Linked DNA regions of Anolis sagrei. The protein of the gene in region 1 interacts with the protein of each later gene in a pairwise test. Links are inferred from orthologs where the notes say so. Each region holds a gene or a part of one and is shown on either strand. Other genes may lie near its edges.

Region 1 (6,998 bases):
TTGGGGAGATAGGGTGGGTTATAAAGTTTATTATTATTATTATTATTATTATTACTGTTTTATAAAAAATAGTTTTAAAGTTTTAAAAATGTATTTTAGTGTATAGAGGGGAGGACCAGGGCACTTTGAATGGTGGCTAATCCACTTGTATTTTATGTTATGAGACATCTTAAACAAAGCAGCGATGTCAGCCATTTTTACTGTAATGCAGTGGTTCTCAACCAAGTGTTTTGGCCTACAACTCCCAGAAATCCCAGTCAGTTTACCAGCTGTTAGGAATTCTGGGAGTTGAAGCCCAAAACATCTGGGGACCCACAGGTTGATAACCACTAATGTAATGTATCTTAACTTGCTTTTAGAGTGTATATTGAAATATTTACTTATGTTTTTGTTTTTATGTCTTAGTGGATTGTCCTTGTTTTTATTTTATTTCAATGCTTTTATTTTAATTTTTTATTATATTTGAGATTTAATTCCTTTGTTGTAAGTTTACCCTCCATCACCCTGTATTATTTTGATGTGTTTGTACCCATTTTGAGGCATTGAATGTTTGCCTTTTTATATGTAAACCGCCTGAGTCCCTCTGAGGAGAGATGGTGGTCTAGAAATAAAGTTCATTATTATTATTACATATTATTTCTTCAACTTTTTGCCAGGGTTGATCTGAGTCTATTGTATGATGTTTTTCAATAATTTTATGTATGAAACAAAATCAATGTATGTTAAAGCATCAGAAAGCAAGTGTTTTATATAAGCAATATATAGATTGATACAAACATATATACACATATGGATTTATGAACCCATATTTTCTTAGCCAGCTATTTGGACAATCCTATCTTAGCCGGCCATTTGGACAATTGCGCTTTCTGATTTCCAGATAAGGGGTGCTGGCCCTGTTACAGTGGAGTCTCGCTTATCCAACCTTGCTCATCCAATGTTCTGTATTACCCAACGCAGTTTGCCTCCCACCCAGATCCACAGCTGTTTCAATACATTGCAATGTTTTGGTGCTAAATTTGTAAATACAGTAATTACTACACAACGTTACAATGTATTGAACTGCTTTTTCTGTCGATTTGTTTAAAACAGGGGTCCTCAAACCTTTTTTGTGACCAGAATTCCAGAAATGAATTTATTTCAGTAGAAGTCTGCACAAAGACCTGCCATAAGCATTATGTGGCTACAGAGGGCCAAGTCACAGTCTCTCAAACTGTTGGAGGGCCGGATTATAATTTGAAAAAAAGACATGAATGAATTCCTATGCACACTGCACGTATCTTATTTGCAGTGCAAAAAAAACCCACTTAAAAACAATACAATAATTAAAATGAAGAACAATTTTAGCAAATATAAACTTATTAGTATTTCAATGGGAAGTGTGGTTGATGAGATAGGATTGTTGTTGTTGTGTGCTTTCAAGACATTTCAGATTTAGGTTGACACTGAGTGAGGGCTGGATAAATGACCTTGGAGGGCCGCATCTGGCCCTCGGGCCTTAGTTTGAGGACCCCTGGTTTAAAACATGTTTTGGTACTTAATTTGTAAAATTATAATGTAATTTTACATTTATAAACTTTTCCTTCATCCCTTATTATCCGACATTCTGCCAGCCCGTTTATATTGGATAAGCGAGACTCTATTGTATTTAGAAGCCTTTTGTTCCTGTCAGGGGGTGGCAGTGCGACATCACAGGATGCCTCAAATATAAATATATACAACATTTATTACCACTCACAAAAATAATCACAAAGGAGGAATAATAATGCTTGGTGGATTATCTCCAGAATCTTTCAACATTCAATCCGTTTTGGGAGGAGTTGACATGAGACACAAATATTCCTCATATATAATATATATATCTGAAAGGAGATAAGTAAGGAAAGGGGACAGAAAGGAGGTGAAACACCTCATGTTTTATTGTTCACAGCCATATTATGTAAACCTTCGCACGTCTCATAATGTCAGGCCCCTTTCACCCAGTTGAATAAAATCCCACATTTTCTGCTTTATATATATGGGACATATGGCAGTGTGTGGACTCAGATGTCCCCGTTCAAAGCAAACATTGTTGGATTTTCTGCCTTGGTATTCTGGTTTATATGGCTGTATGGAAGGGCCCTCGGTTTACAGGTGAAAAGGGAATCTGAAACAACGGAAAGGCGACAAGGAGGAGGAAGGGCCTTTCCCTCAGGGTTGGCTTTCCTTCCCCGCGGGCTGAGGGCCAAAGGAGCCCAAGCCGCACTCGAGGAAGGGGGGGAGGGAGGGGCACTTGGGAGGAGGAGAAGCACAAGCAGCTGCTGCCTCTCTCCCCGCTGCTCCAGGTCTATCGGAATGTCCCTGAAAGCGGCCCCTTTAAATCTCGCCCTCCTCTGCCTCTGCTCTTCCCCCCCCCCACCCCCCGCGTCGCCTCGCGCCACAAACAGCTGTTGCCCTTTTCTCTCCCCTCCTCCTCCCCCTCCTCCACCCCCTGAGGCGCGCGACACCTTCGTTCCCGGGCGCGCGCGCGCTCCCGCCGACTCCCCCTCCCCCTCCTACAAGAGCAACGGCTGTTCCAGAATTTTCCTCACTCCCCCTCCCTCGCGCCTGCCTGCCTGCCTGCCGACGCCCCTCGGCCAACCCCCCCTCCCTCCCGCCCCGCCACTCGAGGATGCCCCCGCCCTGCTGTTCCGTATGTCGGCCTCGCCTCCCCCGCCCCACACCCCCGGGTCCGTTTGCGCGGCTCAGCCAAGGCGGCCGGCACTGGCGGCGGCGGCGTCGGGCGCGCCGTGATGGATGGATGGCTGGCTGCTTGGCTGGCTGGCTAGGAGCAGGTTTGAGTGACAGCGCTTACCTTGGGTGCCAATCTTCGTCACACTGACAAGCGGCTGCAGCAATCGGGACCCGCACCGCCGCGACGCGCGTCACCGCGCACACACGCCCTCGTCCAATCGGGAGCCACGCCGGGCTGACACGACAGCACGCTCCGCGAGACGCCTCATCAATATTCAGCGAAGGAGTGGGCGACGTCGCGCTTGGAGGTACGCCCACCTCGGCGCCGGCCTAGGCTGGAAGGGGCGGGGCCTTCCCCTCCACGGGCCCGCCCCATCGGGGCCTCGGCGCGCGACCGCCTCGGGTTTATGAATACTCATGAGGTGGGCGGGTTGGCCACGCCCCCTCTCCCAGGCCTTTAATAGGTTCCTTCGGCTTGAGGGAAGCTGCGCGTGACGTCATGAGGCCTTATCGTAAGGCTAAGTGGCCAGCAGGTGGGTCGCAGCGCCCATCACTGTCGCGACACGATGGGCTACCCAGTACTCCCATTCTCTTTAAAGGAATGTGCAGGCAACAAAGGGAAAGAGGAGCAAGGGACTGTTAACGGCTTAGGATTCCTCTGCTCCTCTCACGCCCTCTCTCTATATATGAATACATGGGCAAATTTCGGCATCTGAGGCAGGCCTGGCCAAACTCTAGCCCTCCATCTGTTTTGGACTTCAACTCCCACAATTCCTAACAGCCCCAGGCCCTTTCCTTTTCCCTCTCAGCTGCTTAAGCGGCCTGAGGCTGTTAGGAATTGTGGGAGTTGAAGTCCAAAACAGATGGAGGGCTAGAGTTTCCCACACCCGCTGTATATGATGCCGTGGAATTATAAATTAAAAAATAAATGAATTTTGAAACCCTTTGTAACTTTTAGCGCACCTGGTATTGAAACCCCTTTGTGACTTTTGACCCACTGGGTATATACACATACACACATTTATATAAACAATATATACATTGATAAATACACACACACATATATACATATACACACATACGGATTTATGAACCCATATTTTATATGCATGTTTACATCTGAATGAATACATATATATTTATTTACATACAGATAAGGGTAATGGAGAGGGTCTTATAGCAACCCTTTCCTGGTTGCCCAAATTTAACTGTTGAAATACATTGAGATCTGTAACAATGTGATTCCTTTCAGAAGGAAAAAAGTGAAAATCATTATACCTGTGGTTTTAAAACAGTGTTGGTTGGGGGCAGGAAATGATACGAAACATGCAGATGTGAGTAGCTCAATAGGTACCGCTTCTGCGAGAAGGTAATGATGTTCCCTGCAGTCATGCTGGCCACATGACCATGTCTATGGACAACACCAGCTCTTCGACTTAGAAATTGAGATGAGCACCACCCACCGGAGTCGAACACAACTAGACTTAATGTCAGGAAAACATTTACCTTTACTTTTTAATGTAGGCTTATTTGAAATTCAGGCCACAGAGCTTAGTGCAGTGTTTCCCAACCTTGTTTTTTTTTTTTTTTTTTTACCAGGGACCACCCTTCAACATTAGTTCCAAAAGGGTTAAGAATCAGTTTTGGTCAATTTTAGATCCAGTTCTAGATTCATCGCTGAGCCTGGAGCCCCAGGTTTCGGCGGTGGTCAGGGGAGCTTTTGCACAATTAAAACTTGTGCGCCAGCTGCGCCCGTACCTTGGGAAGTCTGACTTGGCCACGGTGGTCCACACTTTGGTTACATCCCGTTTAGACTGCTGCAACGCTCTCTACGTGGGGTTGCCTCTGAAGACTGGCCGGAAGCTGCAGCTAGTCCAACGCTCGGCAGCCAGACTACTAACGGATGCTGGGTACAGGGAGCACACCACTCCGCTGTTACACCAGCTCCACTGGCTGCCAATTAGCTTCCGAGCACAATTCAAAGTGCTGGTGTTAACCTATAAAGCCCTAAACGACTCCGGCCCTGTTTACCTCTCTGAATGTATGAACCATCAAGATTATTAAGATCGTCTGGAGAGGCCCTGCTCTCAGTCCCACCGGCCTCGAGTGGGATCAGAACCGCCCCTTCTAGCCTGACATTTAGGAAACAGGTGAAGACTTGGTTATGGAGACAGGCATTTGACGAGTGAGCCAACACCCTGAGATATGGATGGAGGATGATGAGCAGCGATTTTAGTGTAACGACTGACCATTATAGTTATTGATTGTAATTGCTGTTTTAATGTTTTACTGTAATATGTATTGCGATGTTTTATTGATTGTATGTGATATTATGGTTGGAAACTGGTCTGAGTCCCTCAAGAGAGGTGAGAAGACCGGTATACAAAACTTTTAAATAAATAATATTTGGGGTGTTGATTCAGAAAATTGCATTGGATAGACCACATCAGCTCTAGTTTCTGATACAGAACATATGCCATCCAGGAGTCGCCATCTGCTCACCCATATTTAATAATCTAGAGCTGATGTGATCTATGCAATGCAATTTTCTGAATCAGCACCCCAAATAACCCCAGGAACAGGGCTAAAAATGACACCAAGGTGCCTCTGTTTCCAGGCGCCACATGGAACAGCTCCGTTCAGGTAGAGGGAGGAAGAGGAAAAGCAGCAGTCAGGAGGTTTGTCACACCTTTCGTTGGTAGTCAGCCTCTCCCTTCCTGACATACCCATTGCTTCAGCACTATAAGAGGATTTTGTAAGTCCAGTCGTTCTCATTGCTACATGTCATATTTTCGTTCTTGGAGACCATTGATGGTCCATGGACCACAGGTTGGGAACCACTGGTTTCATGAGAGGCCTGTGCGAAGAATTCCAGCTGACAGTTTGCTAAGTAGTGAGCCCTCCCTGTGTGTCTTTATGGATAAGAGAGAGTGTGTGTATATAATAACCTTGATTTTGCCATTATATGTCTACAGATTTTGCATCAATGGATTCAATCAATCACAGCATGAAAAAAAAATGAGAGTTGCTTTTTGGAATTTTATATGGTATATGCACAATTCCAATAAGCAACTCTGGATTTTGCCATCTATGTGTTTCATTATCCATGGTATGTGTTTGTGTGTCTGTCTCTAAAAATCAAACCCGAGCTTGTTTTCTTTTCAGGGTTGCTTGGGAGCCAACTTACCACATATCTACCTGGAAGTACACAATCCCAAAACACTGTACTCATTCAAAATTAGAGTGTGTTACCCATCATAAAACCTTGGAGCTGTTTTTGTATCCTCGGAGTCCACTTTGACAAATTTATGGATGAAACAATAGTAGTAGATACTTTTCATATTAACTTTCTGGGGCGTCAGTGCTTTTACTAGAGGGTACCCATAACTTCAAATTAGAAATTCCCAATATGAATAACTAAGAAGTTTAATGTGGTTAAAATAGTATGTAGAGGTCATTTTAATGACTCTGTGCTCATTTCTATGCAAGTGGATAAACATGTTTTTGCAAAGAGTTAGAGACTTGTTAAAATAAACACTAAAAATCAATAGAGATGTGGAACATTCATTTTTTTAGTTGTTAAATTCTTTGTATTTATAGAATCATGTACTGTATCTGGCTATGAAATACAAAAAGGTGAGAATAAAAGATAATTTAGTCATCTTATGTTTTGTATTCTGACTTTTGGATTTAACTGCTGTTTTATTTTCCAATACATTAATACACCAATAACTTATATCTGTGAATATTTCCCTAATCTGTTGTCTATGAAGACCTATTCATAACGAACTAGTTCATGACCTAAATATTGCAACAACATTACTGTGATTCACAAAAATGTGTAATCTATGAATTGGAAAAAGTGACCTGAATTCAGCAACACCCAATGCTAAATAACACTCATTTTAAAACTACTGTTTTACAATGTTGCACCATTTTGTTCTTGGTACAGTTTGTTTCTAATCATTAAGTTTAACAATATAGCATTTGTTGGCATTGTCATCATATTGTAGGTATTTCACAATGGCTGGAATTCTCAGAATAATAGGATATTCAGCTTTGAGTCTCCTTGTGGAGAGAAAAAATGGGATATAAATAAACAGAAGGAGAACTTAATATTATTGGTTTCATCATATCCATATACTAATAAGATATGAGTAACACATTTTTATTACAAAAATACAGTAAGAAGCTGAACACTGATTTAAAATGAACCAAGCACCAGACATAACAAGTCTGGTTACTTGGCTCACACTTAAGTGAATGTGAAAGGCCTTGTTCCATTT
Region 2 (7,217 bases), on another chromosome or scaffold:
AAGGGCCCCTAGGTTATCCGAGTCCACACTGCTATATATTCCAGTTCAGAGCAGATAATGTGGGATTTTATCCAGCTGTGTAGAAGGGGCCCAAGTGCTTCTCCAAGAGCCCAATCCGACACCCCAAGGTCTTTGGTAATCTCCAAGTGCAAGACCTCATCACACTAGAGATTGAATGCACTATAAATCCTGTTGCTGCCCATAGGAAACTTTCCTTCCCCTGAACTATCCCAATTCATTCCTTTTTCCCCCTCCCAATCCCCTCCTTTATTTTAAGATTGTAGTTGTAGAAAAGCATTCAATAAAATTTATATTAAAATTCAGTTTCTGCCTCCTGCAGAATTCTGGGGTTTGTAGTTTAGGGAGGAGCCTTTAACAGCCTCACTAAAATACAAACCCCAGAATTCTGAAGGAAGAAACTTGATTTAAACTGCGATGAAGTAGCAAGAGTTTAGTGTGGGGTTGAGACCAGTCTTTGCTTTCCAAGCACTCCTCAAACATCCCAGCTTGGCACCCCACATCCCTAAAAATCTCCAAGTGCAAAAACAAAACAAAACAAAACCCCCAAGGCTTTGGTGTGGGCTTGAGCCCAACCTGACACCCCAAGGCCTTTGGTAATCTCCAAGTGCAAAATCCTAACAGACAAGCAAGGCTTTAGTGTGGGGTTGAGACCAATCTGTCCTTTCCAAGCACTTCTCAAACATCCTCACATCCTTGAAAACCGCCAAGCGCAAAAACTAAACAAAACATGGATTTGGTGTAGGCTTGATCCCAATCCTGGGTTTCCAAGTGCTTGTCCAAGAGCCCAAAAGGGTACCCAAAGGCCTTTGATAATCTCCAAGTGCAAAAACCCAACAAAAAACCAAGACTTTAGTTTGAGGTTGAGACCAATCTGTCCTTTCCAAGCACATCTCAAACATCCTCACATCCTTGAAAATCAACAAGCACAAAAACAAAACAGAACCCCAAGTCTTTGGCATGGGCTTGATCCCAATCCTGGGTTTCCAAGTGCTTCTCCAAGAGCCCAAACCAACACCCCAAGGCCTTTGGTAATCTTCAAGTGCAAAAACCAAAGACTTTAGTGTGGGGTTGAGACCAATCTTTCCTTTCTAAGCCCTTCTCAAACATCCCAGCCTGGCACCCCACATCCTTGAAAATCTCCAAGCCGAAAAACAAAACAAAACATGGCTTTGGTGTGGGCTTGATCCCAATCTTTGGTTTCCCAGTGATTCTCCAAGAGCCCAAAAGAATACCCCAAGGTCTTTGGTAATCTCCAAGTGCAAAAACCAAACATCTAAGAAAGACTTTAGTGTGGGGTTGAGACCAATCTTTCCTTTCCAAGCACTTCTTATACATTCCCAGATCCTTGAAAATCGCCAAGTGCAAAAACAAAACAAAACAAGGCTTTGATGTGGGTTTGATCCCAACCCCGGGTTTCCAAATGTTTCTCCAAGAGCTCAATCTGTTATCCCAAGGCCCCTAAAATCTCTAAACCTAGAAACAAAACAAAACTCCAAGGGTTTGGTCTGGGCTTGATCCCAATCCTGTGCTTCCAAGTGCTTCTCCAAGAGCCCAAAAGGATATGCCAAGGCCTTGGGTAATCTCCAAGTGCAAAAACCTAACAGAAAACCAAGACTCGCGTGTAGGGTTGAGACTAATCTTTCCTTTCCAAGCCCTTCTCAAACATCCCCACATCCCTGAAAATTGCCAAGTGCAAAAACAAAACAAAGCAAGGCTTTGATGTGGGCTTGATCCCAATCCTGGGTTACCAAATGCTTCTCCATCTGATACCCCAAGGCCTTTGGTAATCTCCAAGTGCAAAAAAACCCAACAGATAAGCAAGACTTGAGTGTGGGGTTGAGACCAATCTTTCCTTTTCAAGCATGTCTCAAACATCCCCACATCCTTGACAATCTCCAAGCACAAAAACAAAACAAGACATGGATTTGGTGTGGGCTTGATCCCAATCCTGGGTTACCAAGTACTTCTCTAAGAGTCCAATCTGATACCCCAAGGCCCCTGGAAATCTCCAAAAGTAAAAAAACAAACAAAACAAAACAAAACCCCAAGGCTTTGGTGTGGGCTTGATCCTAATCCTGGGTTTCCAAGTGCTTCTCCAAGAGCCCTAACGGATAACCCCATGGGTCCTGGAAATCTCCGAGCACAGAAAAACCCCTTTGGTGTGGGTTCGGGCCCAATCCTGGATTTCCAAGTGCTTCTCCAAGAGCCCAACCTGATACTCCAAGGCCCCTGGAAATCTCCAAACGCAAACAAGGGGGAAAGCGCGACTTTGGTGTGGAGTGGCGCCACTCCAAGTACCCCACACTTTCCCCCAAGTAAACCCTCCCTTTTGCCTTGAGTTTTTCCCCACACAAAGGGTCCCATTCCCAACCCTCACCCCCAACTCGGCGCCCTTCCCCCAAAAGGCCAGGAGGGGGTAACCAACTTTGCCTGGGCTTCGTCCAAGCTTTGGTCCGTGATGGTCATGATCTGCTGGAGGATGTCCCCGATGTCCTGCTTGCGGGGCTCTCCGTTGTCCGAGGGGGGCTCGTGGAGGGCGTGCGGGGCCATGGCCTGGACCCCCGGCACCGAGGGGTGGCCCGGCAGACCCACGGGGCCCCGGGCCTGGATCAGCCGCCCTTGCTCGTCCATCCTCGCCGCCGACAAGGACCACCCAAAGCACACAAGGCGCGCCGAGGAGGAGGAGGAGGACGAGGACGAGGAGGAGGGCGCGCACAAAACAAGTCTCCCCGCAAGACGCACAACCACACACACGCGCACACACAAAGGCGTCGGTCTGGGGGCTGCTTGCTCCTCTTTCTCCCCCAAGTCAAGGAAAAAAGGGGGAGTGGGTGAGCAGAAGAAGAAAATAGAGAGAAAAGGCTGGTTATTCCATCTTGGATGCGCGCTCCCAGGGCCCCTTTCCTTGGAGACTTTGGGGCTGGGAAAATGGAGTCCCGCACAAGGGCTGGGGGAGGAGCTGGTGGAGAGGGGGAGGGAAGCACAGGAGGAGGAGGGAAAAGGAGGAGAGGAGGCTCGCTTTCCCCTCTTCCCAGCCCTCCCTCCTTCCCTGCTTCCTTCCCTCCCTCCCTCCTCTTTCCTTCTCTTTCCAAGCAGGCCTCCCCTTTGGCGCCCTGGTGGGAGAGAGAGAGAGAGAGAGGTGGGGGCCCAAGGCTGGCCTCTCCCTCCCTCCTTCCCTCTCTCCTTCCTTTCTTCCTTCTCCCTCCTTCTCTCTCTCTCTCTTTCTCTCTGCTCTGCCCTCCGCTGGATGGTTGCAAGGCAAGTCCTGGAGAAGAGGAGGAAGGAGAAAGAAGGAAAAAATAGGCTAGCTAGAACAGTGGCTCTCAATCTTCCTAATACCACCACCTCTTCATACAGTCCCTCATGCTCCCCCTCTATTCTGCTTTGGTTAGACCACACCTGGGATATTGTGTCCAATTCTGGGCACCACAATTCAAGAGAGATATTGACAAGCTGGAATGTGTCCAGAGGAGGGCGACTCAAATGATCAAGGGTCTGGAGAACAAGCCCTATGAGAAGCGGCTTAAGGAGCTGGGCATGTTTAGCCTTCAGAAGAGAAGGCTGAGAGGAGATATGATGTTGTTGTTCATTCGTTCAGTCGTCTCCGACTCTTCGTGACCTCATGGACCAGTCCACACCAGAGCTCCCTGTCGGCCGTCACCACCCCCAGCTCCTTCAAGGTCAGTCCAGTCTCTTCAAGGATGCCATCCATCCATCTTGCCCTTGGTCGGCCCCTCTTCCTTTTGCCTTCCACTTTCCCCAGCATAATTGTCTTCTCTAGGCTTTGCTGTCTCCTCATGATGTGGCCATGGAGATATGATAGCCATGTATAAATATGTGAGAGGAAGTCATAGGGAGGAGGGAGCAAGCTTGTTTTTTGCTTCCTTGGAGACTAGGACGCGGAACAATGGCTTCAAACTACAAGAGAGGAGATTCCACCTGAACATGAGGAAGAACTTCCTGACTGTGAGAGCCGTTCAGCAGTGGAACTCTCTGCCCCAGAGTGTGGTGGAGGCTCCTTCCTTGGAAGCTTTAAAACAGAGGCTGGATGGCCATCTGTCAGGGGTGATTTGAATGCAATATTCCTGCTTCTTGGCAGGGGGTTGGACTGGATGGCCCATGAGGTCTCTTCCAACTCTATGATTCTATTGTGAGGACCCCCAACCATAAGATTATTTTCGTTGCTACTCCACAATTCTAATTTTGCTTCTGTTATTAATCATAATGTAAATATTTGATATGCAGCTGCGCCTTGGGAAGCCTGGTCTGGCCACAGTGGTCCACGCTTTGGCTACATCCTGAATAGATTACTGTAACGCGCTCAACATTGGGCTGCCTTTGAAGACTGCTCGGAAACTTCAACTCAGGGGTCTTCAAACTAAGGCCTGGGGGCTGGATGCAGTCCTCCAAGGCCATTTACCCGGCCCTCGCTCAGGGTCGACCTAAGTATGAAACTACTTTAAAGCACACAACAACAACAATCCTATCTCATCAGCCAAAAGCAGGCCCACACTTCCCATTGAAAGACTAATATGTTTATATTAGTTAAAATTGTTCTCCATTTTAATTATTGTATTGTTTTAAAAAAATTGCACTACAAATAAGATATATGCAGTGTGCATAGGAATTCATTCATTTTTTTTTCCAAATTATAATACGGCCCTCCAACAATTTGAGGGACTGTGACCTGGCCCTCTGTTTAAAAAGTTTGAGGACCTCTGCTTCAACTAGTCCAACGGGCAGAAGCTAGACGACTCACTGGAGCATCATACAGAGAGCATACCACCCTCTGCTCCACTGGCTGCCGGTCCAATTCTGAGCACAATTCAAAGTGTTGGTTTTGACCTTCAAAGCCCTATGCGGCTCCAGCCCAGCTTACCTGTCCGAACCTATCTCCCTCTACGTTCCACCTCAAAATTTAAGATCTTCTGGGGAGGCCCTGCTCTCGGCCCTGCCTTTGGCACAAACATGTTTGGTGGGGATGAGGGACAGGGCCTTCTCAGTGGTGGCCCCCCACCTGTGGAACTCACTCTCCAGCGAAATCAGGTCAACAACATCCCTCCTTGTCTTCAGGAGGAAATTGAAAACTTGGTTATGGGACCATGCCTTTGGGTAGCTGGCAGATAATTGACAATGGTAATAATGATAATGTTCTCTGTTTCCCAATGACTAATATACAGGGTATCCCAAAAGTCTCCATACATAGGAAAAAATAAAACACTCATATAATGTTATATTTTAATGTTTTATGTTTATAAATATTTCTTATACTTTCAGATAGCCTAAAAGAATACTATCCTCAAAAGAAGAGCTTAATAAATATTTTGTCAATAAAGGTTTAGTGTGTTGTCAAAGGCTTCCATGGCTAGAATCACAGGGTTGCTGTGAGTTTTCTAGGCTGTATGGCCATGTTCCAGAAGCATTCTCTCCTGATATTTCACCCACATCTATGGCAGGCATCCTCAGAGGCTGTGGGGTCTGTTGGAAACTAGGCAAGTGGGCTTTATATATCTGTGAAATGTCCAGGGTGAGGGAAATAACTGTTTGAGGCAAGTGTGAATGTTGCAATTGGCCACCTTGATTAGCACTGACTGGCTTTGCAGTTTCAAAGCCAGGCTGCTTCTTGCCTGGTAGAATCGTTTGTTGGGAGGTGTTAGCTGGCCATGATTATTTCCTGTCTGAATTCATGTACTTTTTGAGAGTTGCTCTTTATTTACTGTCCTGATTTTAGAGTTTTTAAAATGCTGGTAACCAGATTTTGTTCATTTTCATGGTTTCCCCCTTTTCTGTTGAAATTGTCCATAAGCTTGTGTATTTCAATGGCTTCTTGTGTAGTCTGACATGGGGGTTGTTAGAGTGGTTGTTAGAGTACATTTAGCTACAAGTTCCCATTTTTCCCAATGGCGACTTTTGGAGCACAGTGAAGAGCTCTGCAAGGGAAAAAATGCAAAAAGGCAGCTTAGGAGGTAGCCATAGGTACAATGACCAATCTGGATAAAATAGTGAAGAGTACAGACATCACACTGCCCATGAAGAAATGCATAGTTAAAGCAATGGTATTCCCCATAGTAACCTATGGATGTGAGAGCTGGACCATAAGGAAGGCTGAGTGAAGGAAGATAGACGCTTTTGAACTGTGGTGTTGGAGGAAAGTTCTGAGAGTGCCTTGGATCGTGAGAAGATCCAACCAGTCCATACTTCAGGAAATAAAGCCCGACTGCTCATTCGAGGGAAGGATAGTAGAGGCCAAGATGAAGTATTTTGGCCACATAATGAGAAGACAGGAAAGCTTAGAGGAGACAATGATGCTGGGGAAAATGGATGGAAAAAGGAAGAGGGAACTACCAAGGGCAAGATGGATGGATCATATCTTTGAAGTGACTGGCTTGACCTTGAAGGAGCTGGGGGTGGCCACAACCGACAGGGAGCTTTGGTGTGGTCTGGCCCAGGAGGTCACAAAGAGTCCAACGCGACTGAACAAATAAACAACAACAAATCTCTAGATCAGTGTTTCTCAACCTGGGGGTTGGGACCTCGGGGGGGGGGGGGTCATGAGCGGGGTGTCAGAAGGGTCACCAAAGACCATCAGAAAACACAGTATTTTCTCTTGGTCATGGGAGTTCCGTGTGGGAACTTTGTCCCAATTCTATCATTGGTGGGATTCAGAATGCTCTTTGATTGTAGGTGAATTATAAATCCCAACAACTACAACTCCCAAATGTCAAGGTCTATTTTCCCAAAACTCCAACAGTGTTCACATTTGGGCATATTGAGTAGTCGTGCTAAGTTTGGTCTGGATCCATAATTATTTGAGTCCAGAGTGCTTTCTGGATGTAGGTGAACTACAACTCCAAAACTCAAGGTCAATGCCCACCAAACCCTTCCAGTATTTTCTGTTGGTCATGGGAGTTCCATGTGCCAAGTTTGGTTCAGTTCCACCACTGGTGGAATTCAAAATGCTCTTTGTTTGTAGGTGAACTATAAATCCCAGCAACTACAACTCCCAAATGACAAAATCACCCCCCCCCCCAACCTCACTAGTATTCAAATGTATTGGGTATTTGTGCCAAATTTGGTCCAGTGAATGAAAATCCATCCTGGACATCTGATATCCATAATTATTTGAGTCCACAGTGCTTTCTGGATGTAGGTGAACTACAACTTCAAAACTCAAGGTCAATGCCCACCAAACCCTT

The links. The genes of interacting proteins can lie anywhere in the genome.
Region 2: the proteins of PKNOX1 (region 1) and pre-B-cell leukemia transcription factor 2 interact in binary tests that used the Homo sapiens proteins (3 or more experiments, as listed by UniProt). The link is inferred for Anolis sagrei from reciprocal best matches to the Homo sapiens genes PKNOX1 and PBX2.

Annotation. Positions count from the first base shown.
Region 1 is NC_090023.1:75,239,235-75,246,232, reverse strand, and holds the start of PKNOX1 (homeobox protein PKNOX1), read right to left. Parts: upstream 3,015-6,998; 5' UTR 2,834-3,014; intron 1-2,833. UniProt on the Homo sapiens protein: Activates transcription in the presence of PBX1A and HOXA1.
Region 2 is NC_090022.1:16,307,265-16,314,481, reverse strand, and holds the start of pre-B-cell leukemia transcription factor 2, read right to left. Parts: upstream 3,013-7,217; 5' UTR 2,653-3,012; coding exon 2,447-2,652; intron 1-2,446. UniProt on the Homo sapiens protein: Transcriptional activator that binds the sequence 5'-ATCAATCAA-3'. Activates transcription of PF4 in complex with MEIS1.